Caenorhabditis elegans: one gene and its partners. The protein of the gene in region 4 purifies or fractionates together with the protein of the main gene of each other region. This does not show direct contact. Each region holds a gene or a part of one and is shown on either strand. Other genes may lie near its edges. The genes, in order: D1022.4, sams-1, enol-1 and ipgm-1.

What was found.
Region 1: the proteins of ipgm-1 (region 4) and D1022.4 fractionate together in Caenorhabditis elegans (co-fractionation; one large-scale study listed by BioGRID). This does not show direct contact.
Region 2: the proteins of ipgm-1 (region 4) and sams-1 fractionate together in Caenorhabditis elegans (co-fractionation; one large-scale study listed by BioGRID). This does not show direct contact.
Region 3: the proteins of ipgm-1 (region 4) and enol-1 fractionate together in Caenorhabditis elegans (co-fractionation; one large-scale study listed by BioGRID). This does not show direct contact.

What each region holds. Positions count from the first base shown.
Region 1 is NC_003280.10:7,455,774-7,458,952, forward strand, and holds D1022.4 (Dienelactone hydrolase domain-containing protein), read right to left. Parts: upstream 1,520-3,179; 5' UTR 1,514-1,519; coding exon 1,437-1,513; intron 1,392-1,436; coding exon 1,295-1,391; intron 1,192-1,294; coding exon 634-1,191; 3' UTR 541-633; downstream 1-540. Other genes in the region: D1022.3 (Dienelactone hydrolase domain-containing protein), read right to left, coding at 1-184, 363-436; D1022.5 (Dienelactone hydrolase domain-containing protein), read right to left, coding at 1,894-1,991, 2,039-2,595, 2,957-3,033.
Region 2 is NC_003284.9:11,964,062-11,970,435, forward strand, and holds sams-1 (putative S-adenosylmethionine synthase 1), read left to right. Parts: upstream 1-1,900; 5' UTR 1,901-1,966; coding exon 1,967-2,035; intron 2,036-2,088; coding exon 2,089-2,272; intron 2,273-2,326; coding exon 2,327-3,119; intron 3,120-3,166; coding exon 3,167-3,332; 3' UTR 3,333-3,345; intron 3,346-5,593; 3' UTR 5,594-5,832; downstream 5,833-6,374. Other genes in the region: Histone-lysine N-methyltransferase set-6, read right to left, coding at 6,246-6,374. UniProt on the Caenorhabditis elegans protein: Catalyzes the formation of S-adenosylmethionine (SAM) from methionine and ATP.
Region 3 is NC_003280.10:8,929,054-8,934,115, forward strand, and holds enol-1 (Enolase), read left to right. Parts: upstream 1-1,949; coding exon 1,950-2,041; intron 2,042-3,052; coding exon 3,053-3,138; intron 3,139-3,294; coding exon 3,295-4,241; intron 4,242-4,286; coding exon 4,287-4,559; downstream 4,560-5,062. Other genes in the region: cct-2 (T-complex protein 1 subunit beta), read left to right, coding at 1-211, 258-430; mrpl-50 (Large ribosomal subunit protein mL50), read left to right, coding at 800-1,332, 1,386-1,584, 1,631-1,756.
Region 4 is NC_003279.8:6,567,942-6,573,144, reverse strand, and holds ipgm-1 (2,3-bisphosphoglycerate-independent phosphoglycerate mutase), read right to left. Parts: upstream 3,589-5,203; 5' UTR 3,537-3,588; coding exon 3,485-3,536; intron 3,059-3,484; coding exon 2,921-3,058; intron 2,872-2,920; coding exon 2,717-2,871; intron 2,670-2,716; coding exon 2,564-2,669; intron 2,517-2,563; coding exon 2,369-2,516; intron 2,168-2,368; coding exon 2,041-2,167; intron 1,770-2,040; coding exon 1,335-1,769; intron 1,292-1,334; coding exon 944-1,291; intron 826-943; coding exon 715-825; 3' UTR 549-714; downstream 1-548. Other genes in the region: syp-6 (Thyroid receptor-interacting protein 11), read right to left, coding at 4,379-4,438, 4,486-4,565, 4,611-4,913, 4,957-5,203. UniProt on the Caenorhabditis elegans protein: Catalyzes the interconversion of 2-phosphoglycerate and 3-phosphoglycerate.

The DNA of each region.
Region 1 (3,179 bases), on a different chromosome or scaffold from region 4:
ACGGAGCAGTGTCACTGCCGATGAGATGTCTGTGCATCTAATTCCTTTTCCATAAATATCAGCAACAAGAGCTACATATCCATGTTCTTCAGCCAATAATTTTGCCCTTGCAATTTCCAGTTTGGACACTCCTCGGAATGCAGGGAAAATCAAAACGCCGGGATGTTTAGTAGAGTTATCGGAGCTGAAAACATTGAATTATAGTTTCAAACTTTTCAAAAATCTTAAAATATCAATTATCAATTATCACAGACATCGGATATAACTTGAAAACTCTTATTTGTTGAAATCAATTTAGATCTATTTTAGATATACATAGTGTTCAACGGTTTCATTTAACAAGTAAACAATCAAATAATAACCTTGGTTTATACAGCTCTCCTGAAAATAAATTGCCATCCGCATCTTCATAATCAATAGTTTGATGAATCGACATAGCTTTCAATTCGGAAAAAAGCTATGAAATCTGAACTTTAAAATTTATAGAATCAGAAAAAGTTCTGCAAAAAATGACAAAATGATCATAATAAATACTTTTATACATTTACTTATCATATTTATTTCAAACAGGTTTGTTACGACGGAGAGATAGAAAAGTCACAAAATTTTGTGATCGTAGTGTACAGTACAACATTAGAAGATTTCTTTGAACAAGTCGAGAGTTGCATTCCATGATCTTTTTGCAGCCTTCTCATTGTAACCAATTCCTGGTGCATTGAAACTGTCAGCTTCTGGCTCAGTGAAAGCATGAACTGCATTTGCATGCGATACAAAGACAAAATCAGCTTGACGAGTTCTCATTTCTTCATGAAATCCATCAACTTGATCTTTTGCAATATGGAAGTCTGCGTCTCCGTGATGAACATACACAGTTGTTCCAACAATTGGATCTAGAGCAATATCAGGAATTGGTTTCAAAGTTCCATGATAGGATACAACTCCTTTGAGTCCAGCATTGTATCTTGCCAAATCGAGAACACAAAGCCCACCGAAACAATATCCGATTGCTGCAATTTTTGAGGTGTCCACTTCAGAGAAAGTCTTCAAAGTATTGACAGCGGCAAAAAGTCTTGGTTTCAGTTTCTCAACGCGATTGGAAACAAGCGGTCCCATTGTTGCAAATGCATCTGCTCGTTCAGTTGGTCTCACACCTTTTCCATAGACATCAGCAACAAAAGCAACGAATCCAAGCTAAAATTTGGTCTTTTTTTTTAAATCAGCATATTCCTGAGAATGCAGCTGTTATAGTTTTCCTGATTTTGTAAAACCTACTAAATATAGACTTTAAAGTAACCTCGGCAATTTGTTGGCCTTTGTCCTTTTCGAAATGCGTAATTCCTCGGAAAGCTGGGAAAATCAGTACGGCGGGAACTTTTGACTGTTTTACATTCCTACAAAAATAAATAAAAAATGAAAATAAAAAATAAAAAACAAACTTTGGAATATAAAGAACTCCTTCAAAGTTATTACCTTCCTCATCAGAATAATCAATAAGTTTCGTGGTAACGGTCATCTCGAAAAGAAGAAAACTAACAAGAGTTATCTAAGACGGTCAATATATATGTATACCTTTTGGGGTTTGACGTTGTCTGCGTATCGTCTCTATTACCATTATAACTGCTATATTTATGACCTTTCGTTTTTTTCTCTCTGGGTCTCTACGTTTCATTAGTGCGTAGCAAACATAGTTTCGGGAAAGTTCACAAACCAAAAAGTTGTCACAAAAATGATCAATATAAACTACATCTCTATTAAGACTTTAAACTGTGTTCAAAGCCATAAAAACTGAGCCAAAATTTTGAAGTTATCTGAATCTGATTAAAAATAACAAATATTTTTCTTTCTCTTTCATGAAAATTTATATAAATTTAAATAATGCATATAATATGAGATTTAAAATATTTCTTTAAATAAAGCCAAAGCAGATGCCCATGATCGATCCGCAGCTTTTTTGTTATATTTAACTCCGGGAAGTCCGAAAGAATCAGCATCTGAAAAATAAAAATATATCGTAAAGTTATTCGTAAACTATTTCTACCTGGCTCTGTGAATCCATGTTCAGCATGTGCATGACTGGAAAACACAAAATCCGCATTTCGAGTTCTCATCTCCACGTGGAATCCATCGACTTGTTCTTTTGGAATATGAGCATCCGAATCTCCATGATGAACCTGGACAGCTGTTTCAATAATCTTATCAAGTGGAGCATCAGGTATTGGAGTCAGTGTGCCATGAAATGAAATGGCTGCTTTCAGTCCAACATTGTACCTGGCTAGATCAAGCGCACATAGGCCTCCAAAACAAAATCCAAGTGCTCCAATTTTATTAACATCTACACACTGAACAGCCTTTATGGCATCAAATGCCGCGACTATTACACACTTTAATAGTTTACTCCTCTCAATTATCATTGGGCGTACAATTGCAAAACATTCTGCTTTGTCTTTTGGATGAATTCCCTTTCCAAATGGATCAGCTGCCAATGCGATGTAGCCCTCCTGAGCAAGAGCCTTCGCTTTTTCTTTTTCAAATTCGGTGATTCCGCGGAATGCAGGGAACACAAGGACACCGGGAAGTTTTCTCATTCTAGTTGTTCTGGAATAAATAACAAGTTTGGTTTGATAATTAGTTAAACCAGTCTGATACTATGTTGATGTCAAATGTTACCATTCTAATCATCAATCAGATTTCGTATGCTAAGTAAATTTAATATTGCATAACATTTATCGAAAATTTACAACATAGATTCAAATTTTTAATTTGTTTAAAATCCCTAATTTCAATAAAGTTGAGGCAATCGTTTGTCACAAAAAAACACCACACAACAGAAAGTCAACAAATGCAAACCTATCCGACTGGTGGAAGGAAAAACAATCTAATCCGCACACACTTTTATTATTCATGCTAAAATTCAATCTTCCGGCAAAATTCACATAAACTTTAAATTTATACAAACCTTGGAACATAAAGATCTCCTTCGTACACTTTTCCATTGGAATCTGTGTATTGAAGTTGACTATGAGTAACAGACATCTTGCCTTCGCGACACCAATAAAACAACTTTCACTTTTGTTGTTTCAACTACTTTTATAAGAAATTTCCTGAATTTTGTGTTTCTCTAGGCTCTCCAAATCTCTCCGATGAGCACAAAATAAGGACACATTATTTTGTGACCAACT
Region 2 (6,374 bases), on a different chromosome or scaffold from region 4:
TGTATTTTGAACTGAACATGGGAAAACATAAATGATAGCACATCTAATAAATTTTGAAAATTTTTTGCTTCGAGTGAGCATGAACAAGGTTTCAAAATGAATTTGTAGAAGCTACAGACTTTGTCAAAAATTAAACTAGCTCTACTGTAATTTGAAAATCATGTTGTCAGAAAATATCCGAATGTAATTAATATTAGAAAACAGTTTTAGTCGACTCTAGCACACGGGTGTGTAAAACTTCAGAGAATTTTGGGGTGTAGAAGAGTTTAAAAAATGCAAAATGAGTCAAAAATATTCAAAAAAATTGAAAAAAGAGAAATTTGTGATTTTTAAAACTGTGTTGCTGTTCAGTCTTGAAACACAAATAAAACATAAAATTAGTTGACATCCACAACAATTGTCTTCTGCGAAAAATTAAGAGCAAAGAAAAGACTGTAAGACAAAAATGGTAGATCAATCTGTTAAATCATCTCAAAAATAGTAAATAGTTCACCAAAAAGAAAACAAAGTTCAAAATACCAAAACAAAGAATGTAGCGTTTTTTTTTGCAGATCCCCTAAAAAAGTTAATAGAAAATTCGAGGTTCTTATCAAAATAAAAATCGTTGCGGTTCATCCAAAATGGTAGTTCAAACGGTGGTTATCAGTTAGAGGGAAACCGATGAGGGTAATGGCATGATAGACTCAGGCATGCTACAAGACATTACTTTTTCATGGAAATTGAACGATAGTAATTGACTGATATTAGATCAAATTGTGATCTTTCTATGTCATGCTTGCAACGATGACCAAGTTTTTTTTTCTATAATGAGATAAAGAAGATATTGTCTGTGGGAACTGACGAAAGAATGATGTGTTTCTAGTCATTCTCAAAAATTCCAGCATTTTTGACCAATAGTTCTATCATGATAATTACAAGAAAAGCATTTATAGTTCTCACATTTTTCTTTCATACCATTAAACTAAAATAGTGAAAACTCACAGTTCATATAAGAATTTTCGGAATTTGTGTATTATAACTCCACTAAAAAACTTGAACTTTTGAAAAAAAAAAACGTGCGGAATACATTGTATTCCAGGATTAGAAAAACTTAGTTTCTAAACCTTTAAAAAAATGTGTATCGCATTTCATTTAATTGATTCAATTAATGAAAATAACATTTAATTCTTAAAATGTGAAAAAATACACAAGTACCGATTTTCAATGTAATTAAAAATCCCTAAATGTTATTCTTCTCTACAAAACCTTGAAATTGACCAATCCCGCCATAAAACCAGTTGAAGAAAACCACGTGGGTAACTCACGTTGCCGTTTTTATCAAATAGTGTACCTACATCTATTGAAAAAATAACATATGTATATATGACCGATTTGAACAAAGATCACGTAGAAAAAATGTGATTTTACAAGACAGCCAGAATTATAAAGTTATTAAATTTACATAAAGCTCTTAAAGATGAACTGTAAAACCTGTCGAAAATTTGAGTTTAGTCAGAATATTCGACACTCCTGTACTATGCACATTCTTTAAAAATTGAAACTTAGGGCAACTTTTAAAAAGCGAAATATTTTACAGAAGAACCAAACATCCTAGCATAATTCAAGTGTGGTAAGAGATTTCGGAGTGATAAAGGAAAAATTGACTAGACCGCTGACACCAACTAAACGTGGATCATAATCACGAAATGTTAATCACCATGCTATTCTTGTCACCACAACCCTCCACCTATCCAATCCTGATCGCTCTTTGTCGCCATTTCCTCTCATTTGCCTCTCGAGAAAGATAACATCAAAGTGGTGAAACAGTCAAAAAAGATAGGACTTGCGAGAGTACGGACGACGCAGAGATAAAAACTGGGTTGTCTGTGTGACTCCGCCTTCGAATATCGCTGGGTTCTTTATAAGGGCAGTGTCCGACTGTGCGAACAAGCCATTCTAAATCGCTTCTCAGTCTTAAAACTCAGAAATGTCCTCCAAATTCCTTTTCACCAGTGAATCTGTGTCCGAGGGGCATCCAGACAAAATGTGCGATCAAGTAAGTTTTTTTTGTTTTATTTATTTAATTTTATCTATTTCTGTTTTTTTTAGATTTCTGACGCCGTTCTCGATGCTCATCTTAAGCAAGATCCAAATGCAAAGGTTGCTTGCGAGACCGTAACAAAAACTGGTATGGTTATGCTCTGCGGAGAAATTACCTCCAAGGCTGTTGTTGACTATCAAGTTCTCGTCCGTCGTGTCATCGAAAAGATTGGATTCACCGACTCCAGCATTGGTTAGTTTATAGAATCTTGCTTTATTATTAGCTTGTTTCAATGTTTTTGTTCAGGATTCGACCACAAGACCTGCAACGTGCTTGTTGCTCTTGAGCAACAATCTCCAGAAATTGCTGCCGGAGTTCACGTCAACAAGGACGGAGAAGATGTCGGAGCAGGAGATCAAGGAATCATGTTCGGATATGCAACCGACGAGACCGAAGAGACCATGCCATTGACTCTCATTCTTTCCCACAAGATCAACGCTGAGCTTCACAAGCTCCGCCGTAACGGAACTCTTCCATGGGTCCGCCCAGACTCCAAGTCTCAAGTCACCATTGAGTACGAGTCCCGCCACGGAGCAACCATTCCACTCCGCGTTCACACTGTTGTGGTCTCTACCCAACACTCTCCAGATGTTACTCTTGAGAAACTCCGCGAGACCATCCTCGCTGATGTTATCAAGAAGGTCATCCCAGCTTCTCTTTTGGACGAGTCTACTGTCTTCCACATCAACCCATGCGGAACCTTCATCGTTGGAGGACCAATGGGAGACGCAGGAGTCACCGGACGTAAGATCATCGTCGACACCTACGGAGGATGGGGAGCTCACGGAGGAGGTGCTTTCTCTGGAAAGGACCCAACCAAGGTCGATCGCTCTGCTGCCTACGCTGCCCGTTGGGTAGCCACCTCATTGGTCAAGGCTGGACTTGCTAAGCGCGTCCTCGTCCAACTTTCCTACGCTATTGGAATCGCCAAGCCAATCTCAGTTTTGGTCTATGCTTTCGGAACTTCCCCACTCACCGACGAAGAGCTTCACCAGATCGTCGAAGACTCCTTCGATCTTACCCCAGGAAAAATTATCAAGTAAGTGAATACAGCTAGATAGGAGAAATTTCATTGGTTTTTTACAGGGAGCTCGACCTCAAGAGACCAATCTACGAGAAGACCGCCGAGAACGGTCACTTCGGTCACTCTGAGTTCCCATGGGAGCAGCCAAAAGCTCTCAAGATTTCTCCAGCACTTCTCGAGAAGGCCAAGGGAAACCCAATCCCAGCCACATCTGCTATCGCTCACTAATTTTTTTGCCTCGGTATGCAAAACTTATTTTTTAAATAATCAATCTCGTTTTATTGTATGCTAGGCACCAATAGTTTAAATTAGTCCGATTTTGTGGATAGACCCCTTGAAAAAACTGAAAAAAAAAACAAGTTAGAGTATTAAATTAAGTTTAGGCAACTAATTACATTTTCAATTCAGCTAGATGACCAACACCTCGCCGTATTTAAAAAAAAACGATTAACGTATTTTGACCTTTTCCCTTTCCTCCCCCACCAGCCTCTTACTCTGATGCGATCCCCCAATTTTCTGTCCCTTCCTGTTCACTGATGATGTGCACTCTTCAGAGCATTTTTCAACAGTGCCTTCTCTTTTTTAAGTCCCCGGTTTCCGCTACCCGCTGAGCTGTCTTGACTTTTAGAATAGCTTCATTTTCAAAAAATTCATATTAAAAAAAAACATCACAACGCAAAAAAATAGTTCTTGACAGTTTCTAATGCCCGAAACATATTTTCTCCAATTACATAGTATTAAATATCCTTTCTCATAACTTCCTCATTGCTCAATGTCTCAACTGCCACCAACTGAGTGGTATCGTACGATTTTTAAGCACCATCAAATCTTTGGTTATAATTAATACATATTTTGTTAAATTGTAATAATCCTTCGGTGGTAGTTCACTGAATTGCTTATTTCCATTCATAATTATGCTTGACATTTAACTTTGGGAAATAAAGTTTTAAAATATAAATTTTTCGAAATTTGTGTTGAAAATAAGAAACATCAAACATTCTAAGGATGATAAAGAAAAAAGATTTTCTGCAAGATAAGACTGGGTGAGTCGTAAAACGCTCCCGCATTGATAAAGATAACCAAGAAGGTGAAATTGACACAAAGACCAAATGAGACAAAAAACTTGATAAAATGTAATTTACAGAAAAAAAAAACTTTCGACATCATGAAAAGAAAACATTATCGTATGTTTGAAAACTTGAAGCTCAACTGCTTCATGGAAACTCAAAATACGCCCTAGAGAGATATCGTTTAATGCCAAACCACAATTACATAATTTCCTGATGCAACCATTTTTCGGTTCAGCATCTCGACAAAAAATTTCATGGCAATAACCTGGTAACTTAATTAGCTGCCAGAAAATTTGAACGGTGTTACTAAGATATTAATATACTTTTTTAAATACTTGATTCTAACTTATTACGTACTTTTGCCACATTATAGAAACTTTTCCAGTTTTCGGCAGATTTCAAGAATAGTGATAATTGGTCCGTAATTTTTCAACATCAGACCGAAAGAGATGCAGTAAGTATTTTTGTGAATAGGTTTCGTTCCGCACAAAAAGTTATTGAAGTTGTTTACACTCAATACTTCAAATTTAATTTGCATGTAAGAGTTTTATTCAATTTCGACTAATTTGCTCGTTTTTAAAAATAACATTAAAATTCTGCCAAAAAAATTAACTTTTAAATTAAAAAATTTAACTTTTTTGGAGATTTATTTGTTCATTGTTGTTAAACTTAATTCTAAAACGTTGAACGTTGTTCAATTTAAATAATTACAATGTTTTCAAAATATATACTTTTCGCATTCTTCTTGAAGTGTTTTTGTTTTCCAAACAACAAAAAGCAATTCCAATATGAATTAATCATGATAACTTCATTTTGTATCTAGTGCTGAGAATACATCGTGATTGCTTTCCACAAATTCCACAAAGCTTGCATAATATCTCTCGATTCATCATATCCACGTCACACTAATTCAGGAAAATCTATTTAGCGAAAATATCTAAATACGAAATCTCGAAAAAAAACCAGCTTTAATAATACATTCTATTTTCGTCAAAACCTCTCTAGTGGTGTTTTCCTTTTCTATTTTTCTCGAAGCTAATAATTATGGGATATCACCTGACACCATAGACGCAGACACAAAAAGAGCTCAAAAATAGTATTACAAGTAAGGAATGAGAATAATCTCACTATTTTCACAAATCTATACAAAGAGGCAAACTGATTTCAAAACTTTGCTTTTGTTCATTTCGACTGACTCTCTGCTTGAAAAGAGTCAGCGGAGTTTTCAAATACTTAAATATCTTTAAAGACACCTCGCAATCCAGAATGATCATCAACAGGTGAGATTATCAGTATTAAATGATAAATTCACGTTTTTTCTTCTTACTATTGTTCATGATTAGAACAAAACATCGAATATTTAAAATCCTTTGATTTTAATTTGAAAAATGCAAATAATAAATTTACTCTTTATTTCAGAGCGAGAATCCGAACTTTATGAATGCATTCACTTTGTTTCTTAATCTATCACGTCTAAAATAACTCGATGGCTACGTGACAAATGCAATATTTTCTTCTTTCAATTTTAACACAGACATAGTTCACTTTCCCATCGATAAGATCATATTATGCTCTCTGTTACACCTGAAGACTCATGTTTTTTTGCTTTTCTGTACAAAATGTTAACCGTTTGGATGAATAAACCGGCAACGACAAAAATGCTCAGGTGAGGAAATTTGAAACATGACATTTTAGCCAAACGTACAGTCTGGCGCTTCACTATTGCCTGGCGCTTCACTATTGCCACTTATTATTGTAATACTGTCTCCAAACGTTTACAAGCTTTAGAATTCACACAATTTCATTCAAAACTTTTTTCTATTCGATGTATTATATAAATGCACATTAAATAAATTCATAATGACTATAAATACATCAACATAACTAAATAATATTTGTCACACATCTGGTTTGCTCTATTCGTAGTGCACTATTTTAAAACTGTATATGTAAAACTGTATTAACTGATAATATTAAATTCCAAAGTTCAGCAATGAAGTGCATGCTTAATAGAGCAAATTTGATACAATTATTACATAAATATTAAAATTTAGATCATATTTTATGGCAGTTATGAATCTTCGTCGGACAGTTCAATTTCAATAACGTTTTCCAAACGTTCACAAGTCGCTGTAGACAATTGTCGCCTCCATTTCAGGTTATATTTTGAAAAAGATACACATGGATCAACCCGAACCTC
Region 3 (5,062 bases), on a different chromosome or scaffold from region 4:
GGAGCTGGAGCGAGCGAAATTTTGATGAGTTCAGCCATCGCCGTCGAAGCTCAAAAGGTTGCGGGTAAGGAAGCCCTTGCCGTTGAAGCCTTCGGAAGAGCCCTTGCTCAATTGCCAACCATCATTTGCGACAATGCTGGACTTGACTCGGCTGAACTTGTCACAAGACTCCGTGCAGAGCACGCCAATGGACGTCACAATATGGGAATCGGTTTGTTCATTTGGAAATCTAACCATTATACAAAATTATCTTTCAGACATCGAGAAAGGAGAGGTTGCTGATGTTACGAAATTGGGCGTTATTGAGTCTTACAATGTGAAGTTGTGCATGGTTTCTTCCGCCGCTGAAGCCACGGAACAAATTCTTCGCGTCGACGATATCATCAAGGCAGCTCCACGTGCCCGTGCTCAAGATAACCGACCATGCTAATCAAATTGTTCGCCAGACTGTTAAAAGATCTTCAACTTTATTCTCCCTTTTTCAGCTTTTAATCGAGTGCTTCAACACAATCGTATCTCGTTTTTTTTCGTCCCCTTCATTCTTATTTTTGATGGAATTTGATACACTTTCTGTTGCTTCTGCCTACCGTTTTTATATGCCCCCGTTTTCAATTTAATATTCGAGAATACCGCGTGTTTTTGCTTGTTGATTTGTTTTCCTTTTAAAATGAATGGAGTGCGATTTACAAAAGGTACAATATTTGAAATGTATTTTATTCCAGTTTTTATCTGATTTTTTATATTTCTGATTAAAGAGAAAAGAAAAAGCTTAAAAGAAAAAATTTAGAACTGCCAAAAGATGCACAGGAGTTTTCCGAGGCTTGTCCGATCGCAAGGTAACTTGTTGAAAGGAATGTTTGGAAAATCCGGGGAAAAGGAAGCAGTAAAGCAGCTGACACTGGAAGAACAGGAGAGCCTTCGCAAGACGCTTCCCAGCATCCGTGCTAGAGAATCCACACAAGTTACTGCTTCAGCTGATTCTGTCACTGAATTTGACGATGATCTGTTGACGATGAGCCGTATCGACACGGATGCCATCCGGGCCAGAGGTTTTCTCAAATACACGCAAAACTATGTTCCCGGCGTTGATGTCAAAAACCAAGTACTTGAAGCAGCGTCATCATGTCTAAGAAGTGCTGGAGTAAAGTCTGAAAACGTGGATCAGTACAAATTTGTGGAAGGAGATAACTCTGTAAAGTTCGAGTTGTTGAACAGGCTGGGAAAATCCATCGAACATTGGCCAACCAATGGAAAACTTCTTCATTTGGAAACAGTGGCAGACGTCGTCGAATTTTATCAGACGCCTGTCAAAAATGTAACAAAATATACAGAGTTAGTTTTTGTTTAAAGATGCTTATTGAATTATTAATTAAAATAAATTATAGAATGGCTCGCGATGAGAACAAACCGAAAAACGTCTCGATTATGGAGCATGCTGCACGTTTCCATCCTGAAGACACTCACATGTATCATGGTGGAATCACTGCATTCCCAGGATCAGGTGGTGAAGTTCTCTCTCTGAGACAGAAACGTCTACTTCGACAGTTCCAACCGAAAAAAGAATGGTTCGATTATGATGATCAGGTAATTTTTAAAGTTTCAGTGCTGACTTAAAATCGGCATTTTTCAGACATTTGATTACACTCGTCCTGACAAGAATATGCCATGGGATCCAGAAGTTGCTAATCAAATGGACAAATACACTGATAAACGATACAACCTAAAAACAAAGCAATTCACTAGGATTCGACAATAAAAAATAATTTGGTTCATTTTTGTATTAGAGTTTCATATTTAGTATTTTTAGACCTATTTTCTTTTTGTTTGATCTATCGATTTTTATTGTTGTAAATAAAATTGACGTTGAAAAAAATATTTTTGACCTCTTCACGTTTTGATCTTCCTCTAAAGTTTTGCTCTACGCAAGTTATTTCAGTTTTTGATTTAAAATGTTTGTTCCATTCACCTCGGCAGCTCACTCGCTCACTTCGCTCATTCGAGGTGGCGGGCAGCCTTCGAAAAGCAATCTGTCTGGACAAAGGTTTTGGTTATCTCTTTTTCTTTATTTTCCGCCAGTTGATTTCATGCTCCCGCGACTTCCACACGCAATCTGCAAAATTTTGGCTGCTGAATCAGGGTAATGGGGTCTGCCGTGCCTTTTTTCCAAAACGTTGACTGATGTTTACTTTTCTTTTATGTTTCATTTTGACTTGTTCAATGGTTTTGAACAATAGTGTGTGCAAACTAACGTTTTTCTTTAAATTCAACACGCAAGCTTTGAGGTGTTTTAGTTAGAAAGAAAATAGTTGTGTTTCTCTTCAAAAATAAGTTTTTTCCGAAATGTTTTGCAAATTTTCCGAATCAACAATTTCTTCTCATATCAGACCTTATCACTTCTTCTCACTTCTAAAACTGACCACTGAACATAAAAAACATTTGGTAACTCGCTTCTCAAATCCAATCTGAAGTGCATGCTTTGCCAATCTGAAACTTCGTGTAAGTCACGTATTTAGGCGAAAGGCAGCCGCTCAAGTCGTCGCTTCTCCCCAGCGGCAGTTGCTGGCGTCCTTGGCCCCTCACTTGTTTTCGAGCCCAAGGCATTGGCTCCTCTTTTCTTCTCGGCATGACGAATTTAATCATAATTCTCAATATCTAGAAGTGTTCAAGAACTTAGTGAATCTGCAATGCCTTTTTTTTGTAACTTCAGTTCGAATCTTAACTGCGTCTCTTTGAGATCTACAAACGAATTTTATTCACTGCCACGAAAAAGAGGCTGTCCGTGCGATTCTATTGAACGTGCGCTCTCGGGCCGCTCACAAACACATCTAACCAGCTGCATTTTCTCTGAGTCTCGTGTCCTCCGTGCGACCTTCGTCACTCTTTCCACTTTCTGCGCCGTCTATTGACGGCGCCGCCTTTTTCTTCTCGCACTCCTTTACCCCTTCTCGCCTCAAACATTTTATCTTTTCAGTTGTTTTGTTTACTAGTGCCCGTTTCTCACGTAGTTTTATATACTTGTTTGATTATTGAAAACATATAGTTCATTTTGCAGGATGCCAATCACCAAGATCCACGCTCGCCAAATCTACGACTCCCGCGGAAACCCAACTGTTGAGGTTGATCTTTTCACTGAGAAAGGTAAGCGAGCATTGTATAAATTCTATCAAAACTTGAAAAACCAATCTAGATTTGAATAAAATAAGATTAATCTTGTTTTATTCAAATCTGAAATTTCATGAAGTATATTTCAACATTATGACGCAATTCCGAAATCACATCATTTCTTGTTTCCAGGAGTCTTCCGTGCCGCAGTTCCATCTGGAGCTTCTACTGGAGTTCATGAGGCCCTCGAGCTTCGTGACGGTGACAAGGCTGTTCACCTCGGAAAGGGGGTTCTCAAGGCCGTCTCGAACATCAACGAGAAGATCGCTCCAGCTCTGATCGCCAAGGGATTCGATGTCACTGCACAGAAGGACATTGACGACTTCATGATGGCTTTGGATGGATCGGAAAACAAGGGAAACCTCGGAGCTAACGCCATTCTCGGAGTTTCACTTGCTGTCGCCAAGGCTGGAGCCGTACACAAGGGACTCCCACTCTACAAGTACATCGCCGAGCTTGCAGGAACTGGAAAGGTTGTGCTCCCTGTTCCAGCCTTCAACGTCATCAATGGTGGATCTCACGCTGGAAACAAGCTCGCTATGCAAGAATTCATGATTCTTCCAGTTGGAGCTTCCAGCTTCGCTGAAGCCATGCGCATGGGATCAGAAGTCTACCACCACTTGAAGGCTGAAATTAAGAAGAGATATGGACTCGATGCCACCGCTGTTGGAGATGAAGGAGGTTTCGCTCCAAATATTCAAGACAACAAGGAAGGACTTGACCTTCTCAACACTGCCATCGACAAGGCTGGATACACTGGAAAGATTTCCATTGGAATGGATGTCGCAGCATCGGAATTCTTCAAGGACGGAAAGTACGATTTGGATTTCAAAAACCCAGCTTCAGACTCCTCCAAGTGGCTCTCTGGAGAGCAACTGACCGAGCTCTACCAATCTTTCATCAAGGAGTATCCAGTTGTCTCTATTGAGGATGCTTTCGATCAGGATGATTGGGATAACTGGGGCAAATTCCACGGTGCCACTTCCATTCAGCTTGTCGGAGACGATTTGACTGTAACCAATCCAAAGAGAATTCAAACTGCCATCGACAAGAAGTCATGTAACTGCCTCCTTCTCAAGGTTGGTTATTTTCTTATTCTGCTTCATACATAAGTTTCTTTTCAGGTTAATCAAATCGGATCCGTCACAGAGTCAATCGAAGCAGCCAAGCTCTCCCGTGCCAATGGATGGGGAGTTATGGTCTCTCACAGATCCGGAGAGACTGAAGACACTTTTATCGCTGATCTCGTTGTTGGACTTGCCACTGGACAAATCAAGACTGGTGCTCCATGCCGTTCTGAGCGTTTGGCCAAGTACAACCAGCTTCTCCGCATCGAAGAGGAACTCGGAGCTGATGCTGTTTACGCTGGACACAACTTCAGAAACCCACAAGTGTAGATCACTCAATCTAACCTATAAATACTGTGTATTTTCGTACTTTCTTCTCAAAATTGCCCTCCCTTTTTATGTAGTCACCTTTTTACCCTATTTTAGTGCTTGACCAGTTTAAAGTTGATTCCATTGTAGATTATTTATTGTACTTGTAATATGAAGATTGGACATGAAAATTTTAACGAAAACAAACATCTGGTTATTTAATTCGGTTTTTGTTTTTTTCTAACTACGGTATCTGTTAAAGGAGCACGCGTTAATTTGGCTCAGGGTCCCGCGACGAAAACTACCATCGCGCGAACGCGTACGCGCCAAAAGTTCTGAAATACATTTTCATCATTTCTTTTGTCACACATTTCGTGCCATGTCATTTACGAAGTGGGTCTGATTTCAAACCAACTGAAAATTCGAGAATTATCGCTCATTTTTATGTCTTATGTTTCGAAAATATAATCAATGCATTTCATTGATTTGTTTTCGTTTCGTTTCGTCGGCATTTTTCAGTTCTC
Region 4 (5,203 bases):
CAAAATTCGATCAAACACGTATTCAAAGTCAACGAAAAATAGAATTTCACCTAGTAATTTCGATTTTTCTCAATAAAACTGGGTTCGTGGCACAAATAGGTCATTTTAACTGAGTGATGCTAAAAAACGATAAGGAAAAGGCGAGGTTTCTGGAGTTTTCAAACGAAAGTGACATCAAAATGCTAGCAACATTTTCTCCAAAGAATTTTCGAGAAACTATAATGAAAAATGTCACACAGAGAGAGCATTAGAAGAAACGATAAGATACTAAATCAAGAGAGTTTGAGAAATTAAGAGACGCAGAGAAAACCAATGGTTTTTCTCAGTTCGTCCCAGTAAAAGTCCGATCAAATCAATCTTTTGCGAGCCGTCAGAGTGCTCCGCAGATGTGCTCAGTGTGTCTATTGGCCAAATGTCACCATCAATTGACCCTTCAAAAATGTTGAGCAACTGACTACAGAGCTCATTCCGGAGCAAGAAAAAAAACATAAATAGCAAATAGAATATGAGTCATCCGACAGGTCATAGTAATGAATGAAATATTTTCTCAGTGCAATATAATTTTATTCATACTAATTTAAGGATCTAAATACATAAAAATTTTCAGACTATAAACAGAATTGAATAGTAGGTAATTGGGAAGAAATTGGACAAAAGAATACTGTAGAAAATATAGTTCATAGAACTTGAATATTGAAATCATTGTACTTGAATCTAGATCTTCTGAACAATCGAGACCCCAGTCATTTCAGCTGGTTGAGGGAGTCCCATAATAGCGAGAACTGTTGGAGCAACATCACAAAGGGCCGGATGACGGTCGGCTGGCTGTAAACGTGTGAAGTGAATAGCTATTTACACCCGTTTGTAAATTAATATTTTCATTTAACATATGGGTTTCTGTTTTTTTTTAAATAAAAATTTCAAACGTTTGACAAAAACTCACATCGACAAATTTGAATCCTGGATGGCTCAAAGTGAGTGGAACACGGTAACATGTGTGAGCAGTGTGTTTTCCACCATCTGGAGCCTTCATCTTTTCAGCATTTCCGTGATCAGCAGTAACCATAAGTGAGTATCCGTGCTTTTGAGTTGCTTCATAGATTCTTCCGATTGCGATATCAGTAGCTTCACAGGCCTTGACAGCAGCTTCATAGACTCCCGTATGCCCGACCATATCTGGTGGAGCAAAGTTGCACATAATGAATGGATGAGTTCCAGCCTCGAGTTGTTCAATCATTTTGTCAGCAACGCCGGCCGCAGACATTTCTGGTTGAAGATCGTAAGTTGCGACCTGGAAATATTCAATTTTCGAAGTTATATCATCAAAGTATTACCTTTGGACTGGGCACTAAACACCTTTCTTCTCCCTCAAATTGTTTTTCAAGTCCTCCATTGAAGAAAAATGTAACGTGAGCGTATTTTTCGGTTTCCGCACAATGAAATTGCGAAACTTTTTGCTCGGCGAGCCACTCAGCCAATACATTTTTGTTCGATGCTGGCGGGAACAGCGATTTGAATGGGAACTCGGCTTTGTATTGAGTCATTCCATATACTTGAAGATTTGATGGATGAGCTAACTTCGAATTGCAATCCTTGTAACGATCCATTCCCATTGCTGCAGAAATCTCACGCATACGATCAGCACGGTAGTCGAAGAAGATGATTGTATCGTCATTTTGAACACGTCCTTTCTCTCCTTGAAGAATGATTGGCTTCAAGAATTCGTCTGTTTCATCAGCAGCGTAACGCTTGCGAACAACTTCAACAACCTGGAAAATGATAATTTTAGATATTATTTAAACTTGCTGAAATTAGAATTCGAATTTCTCTCGGAAACATTTTTAATTGAAATGAATTTGAATTTTTGTTGATTTAAAGTGAAAAGTTTGCATCTTGGTATATCATACATTGTACGGAAGAAAACTACTTTATATTTAGTAAATGATTTTTGATACCTAGAAAATTATAATTAAACGAAATCCAAAACTGTTCATTCTTCGTCTTTTGAATTGTTAATCAGTTTATACGCTAAAATCATACCCCAGCCTCATCGGAAGTCTCTCCAACACCTCCAATCATTGCCTCGTATGCAACATTGATACGCTCCCATCTGTTATCGCGATCCATAGCATAGTAGCGGCCAACTACAGTAGCTAGTTTTCCATATCTGAAAATATTTTTAAACATGTTTCCTAATGGGGTTATTCAAGTAATGTAGCGAAATGTATTTAAATATATTTGTGACGTCACAAATGTATTTAAATACATGTTTTTATATACTTGAATACAGTTGTGGCGTAATTTTTCTACACTTTTTAATTTTCCGACACTACTTGAATAACCCCATAAATTATCACATTATTCTAACCCAGTAGTTTTCTCCAAGAACTCGAGGGTTTGTTCAAGGAATCCAACTCCACTGTTTGGAGAAGTATCACGACCATCTCCGTAGAAATGAAGGTAAAGTTCTGGAACTCCGAGCTCTTTGATGGCCTTAACCAAAGCAAACATGTGATCTGAAATGAGAAAAATCATAAATTGAAAATAAATAAATGAATATTACCAATATGAGAATGAACACCTCCGTCAGAAACAAGTCCGGCCAGATGAAGACGTCCATTTCCGTTTTTAGCACGATCGCAAGCATCCACCAAGCTCTCATTAGTCACCTAAAATTTACGAAATATAATATTCTGAAATAATATTGGAAGCATACAAATTTGTTGTTCTTGACTGCCAGATTAATACGAACAATGTCTTGATAGATAACACGTCCGGCTCCGATGTTCAAATGTCCGACTTCCGAATTTCCCATCAATCCTTCTGGGAGACCAACATGAAGACCATGTGCCTCAATTTGAGCCCAATTGCCTGGAAAAATGTTCTTGGGTTAACAATTTTGAAATAAATAAAATCTTACCCGAACACAGCTTGTCCATAACTGGTGTCTGTGCGTTGAGAATAGCGTTACCGTAAGGATCTTCAGAAACTCCCCATCCATCAATAACGATGAGACAGACCTTATTGGCCACCGAACTGTTATTTGCCATCGCCATTCCTGAAAAATATCGGAATATGATGCAAATTGAAAAATTTTTGAGTTTAAAGGCGAAAACTATTAGCTGTTATAGGGGGATTGTGATTTCTCGCACAAAATATAAAAAGAATAAAAATACTAGATGATGCTTGTGAAGGAATTTCTTTCAAATATATTCGGAGCAAAACTTTTAAATGTAACCTCCATTAAAATTAAAACATTAGCAATCAATTAATATAAAAATAGGTATTAGAAAGAAAAAAGGACAATTAAAAAAAAGGCAAAACAAAATGACGAGATTATGAAAAATGGAATTAAATCAAAACTGTTGATTCGTTATCAAATAAGAAGTTTGATCATCGATCAATTTTGTTTCGAGAAATTTAAAATATAACCAGTGAGAAAAAAATTAAAAAAGAGAACAACAAGAATCCAAAAACCGCTCACCGCGTCGTCCGAAATATTGCCGATAAATTTGAGCGCCCAGGGCTACGAACATCTCTATTTCTCTCCGTCTCTTCTGTCAAGCACTATTTCATTGACTTATTGAAATGTTGAAAGAAATGAGAATAAAATTGAGAAACGTTTTCTGTGTGAGATTTTTGCACGTAAACAACTCTTCTATCACGTATCTCTAACATTTCTCTCATTTCTCAAGAAATTCTCAATTTCTCGTGCTCTCTTCTTGAAGGATTTTCTAGATGTTTGGAGCCGCGCTAAACTATTGATTCGAAACTGAACAAGAAAAAAAACAGAATTGACCCAAAATAGAAGTGTTTGAAAGCGGAGACGCAGAGAGCTGCACGAAAAATGATGCAAAAGTGAAGTATTGAAATTGAAAAGTTTTAGCGAGCGAAATCAAAAAAGTGTATCTTTATTGAGTTTAGTGTCCAAATAAAACCCTTTTTCTCGCACCGCCCGTCTTTTTCAGCGAGACAACGACCACAGACAAATGAAAACTATTGAAACAAGTAAATACATACAAACTTTTGTAATTTCTCAAGTACTCTTCTTTTCTAACATGCATGTTGACATGTAAAATTCTTCTTTTCTAACATGCATGTTAACATGTAAAATAAATTTTATAACAGTTATTTTTCCTGAAATTCGACGGTTTAATAAATATTTACAGGACTTAAACATTTAAATTGATTTTTAAAGATAAATTTAATTAGCATTTTGACAGTGACAGCAATAATATTGAAATATTAAAGAACAATGATTTATAACTTATAACAGATCACAAACAATAGGAACATGATGGAATAGTACAAGATTACGCGAAAATTCCGTATAAGAGGAACACAAAAAAGTATGAATTAAATTAGAATGTAGAAAGTTTTAGTCGTCACCATCCCAAATCGTTTGATCTAGACCGCCATCATCTGGAGCAACCAAATCCTGAAAACAATAAATGTTTCATGAATATTCCATTAAGAGACACAAACCTCATCATCCATGGATTCGTTTTCCTCAGATCCTTGTGAGAAGCCAGCTTCACTTTCAGCTACGTAGCTGTTGCCAGAGCCTGAAAATAGTTGCAAATTGTCAAGCTTATTCAGAATTCAAGAACCACTTTTATCATCTGCAACTGATTCCTCTTTTTTGCCAGATATTTTTGAAGAACTCTTCTTAATTTGCTCTGCAGCTCTTTTTGCTTTTTGTCTGTTATCGAATTCTGCCACATGCGCAGTCATGGAAAACTCAACGTCGTTAAGTTTTTCGTCGGTGCCTGTTGGATTGAAGAAATCATTGAGCATAGATTCATCCTGAGTGGTTCCAGATAGGATCGACTCTTCCGATGTTGCCGATATACTTGCAGCCGGATCGTGGCGTTTAGATGAAACACTCGCCGGGCGGTTAACTTCAGAGGGACCTGAAGTAATCAGAATTTTTCGTACTGTAAAAATTATTATTACGGCCGTAATTATGGGAAATGTGTTCCATTTCGCTTTCTCGGCGAACATTATCAGGCAATTTATCCATGTTTTTCTTGGCCTGCATTGTATCATACTTCTCCATATGAGCAATCATTGAAAACTGTGGACGCATTGAAGTTTGTTCTTTGCTAACCGGAGAATTAAAGAATGCATTCAATCCAGACTCATCCTGTGTTGTGCCTGTATCGTCATCGAATGTTGAATCTTCAGAAGTAGCAGATTCATT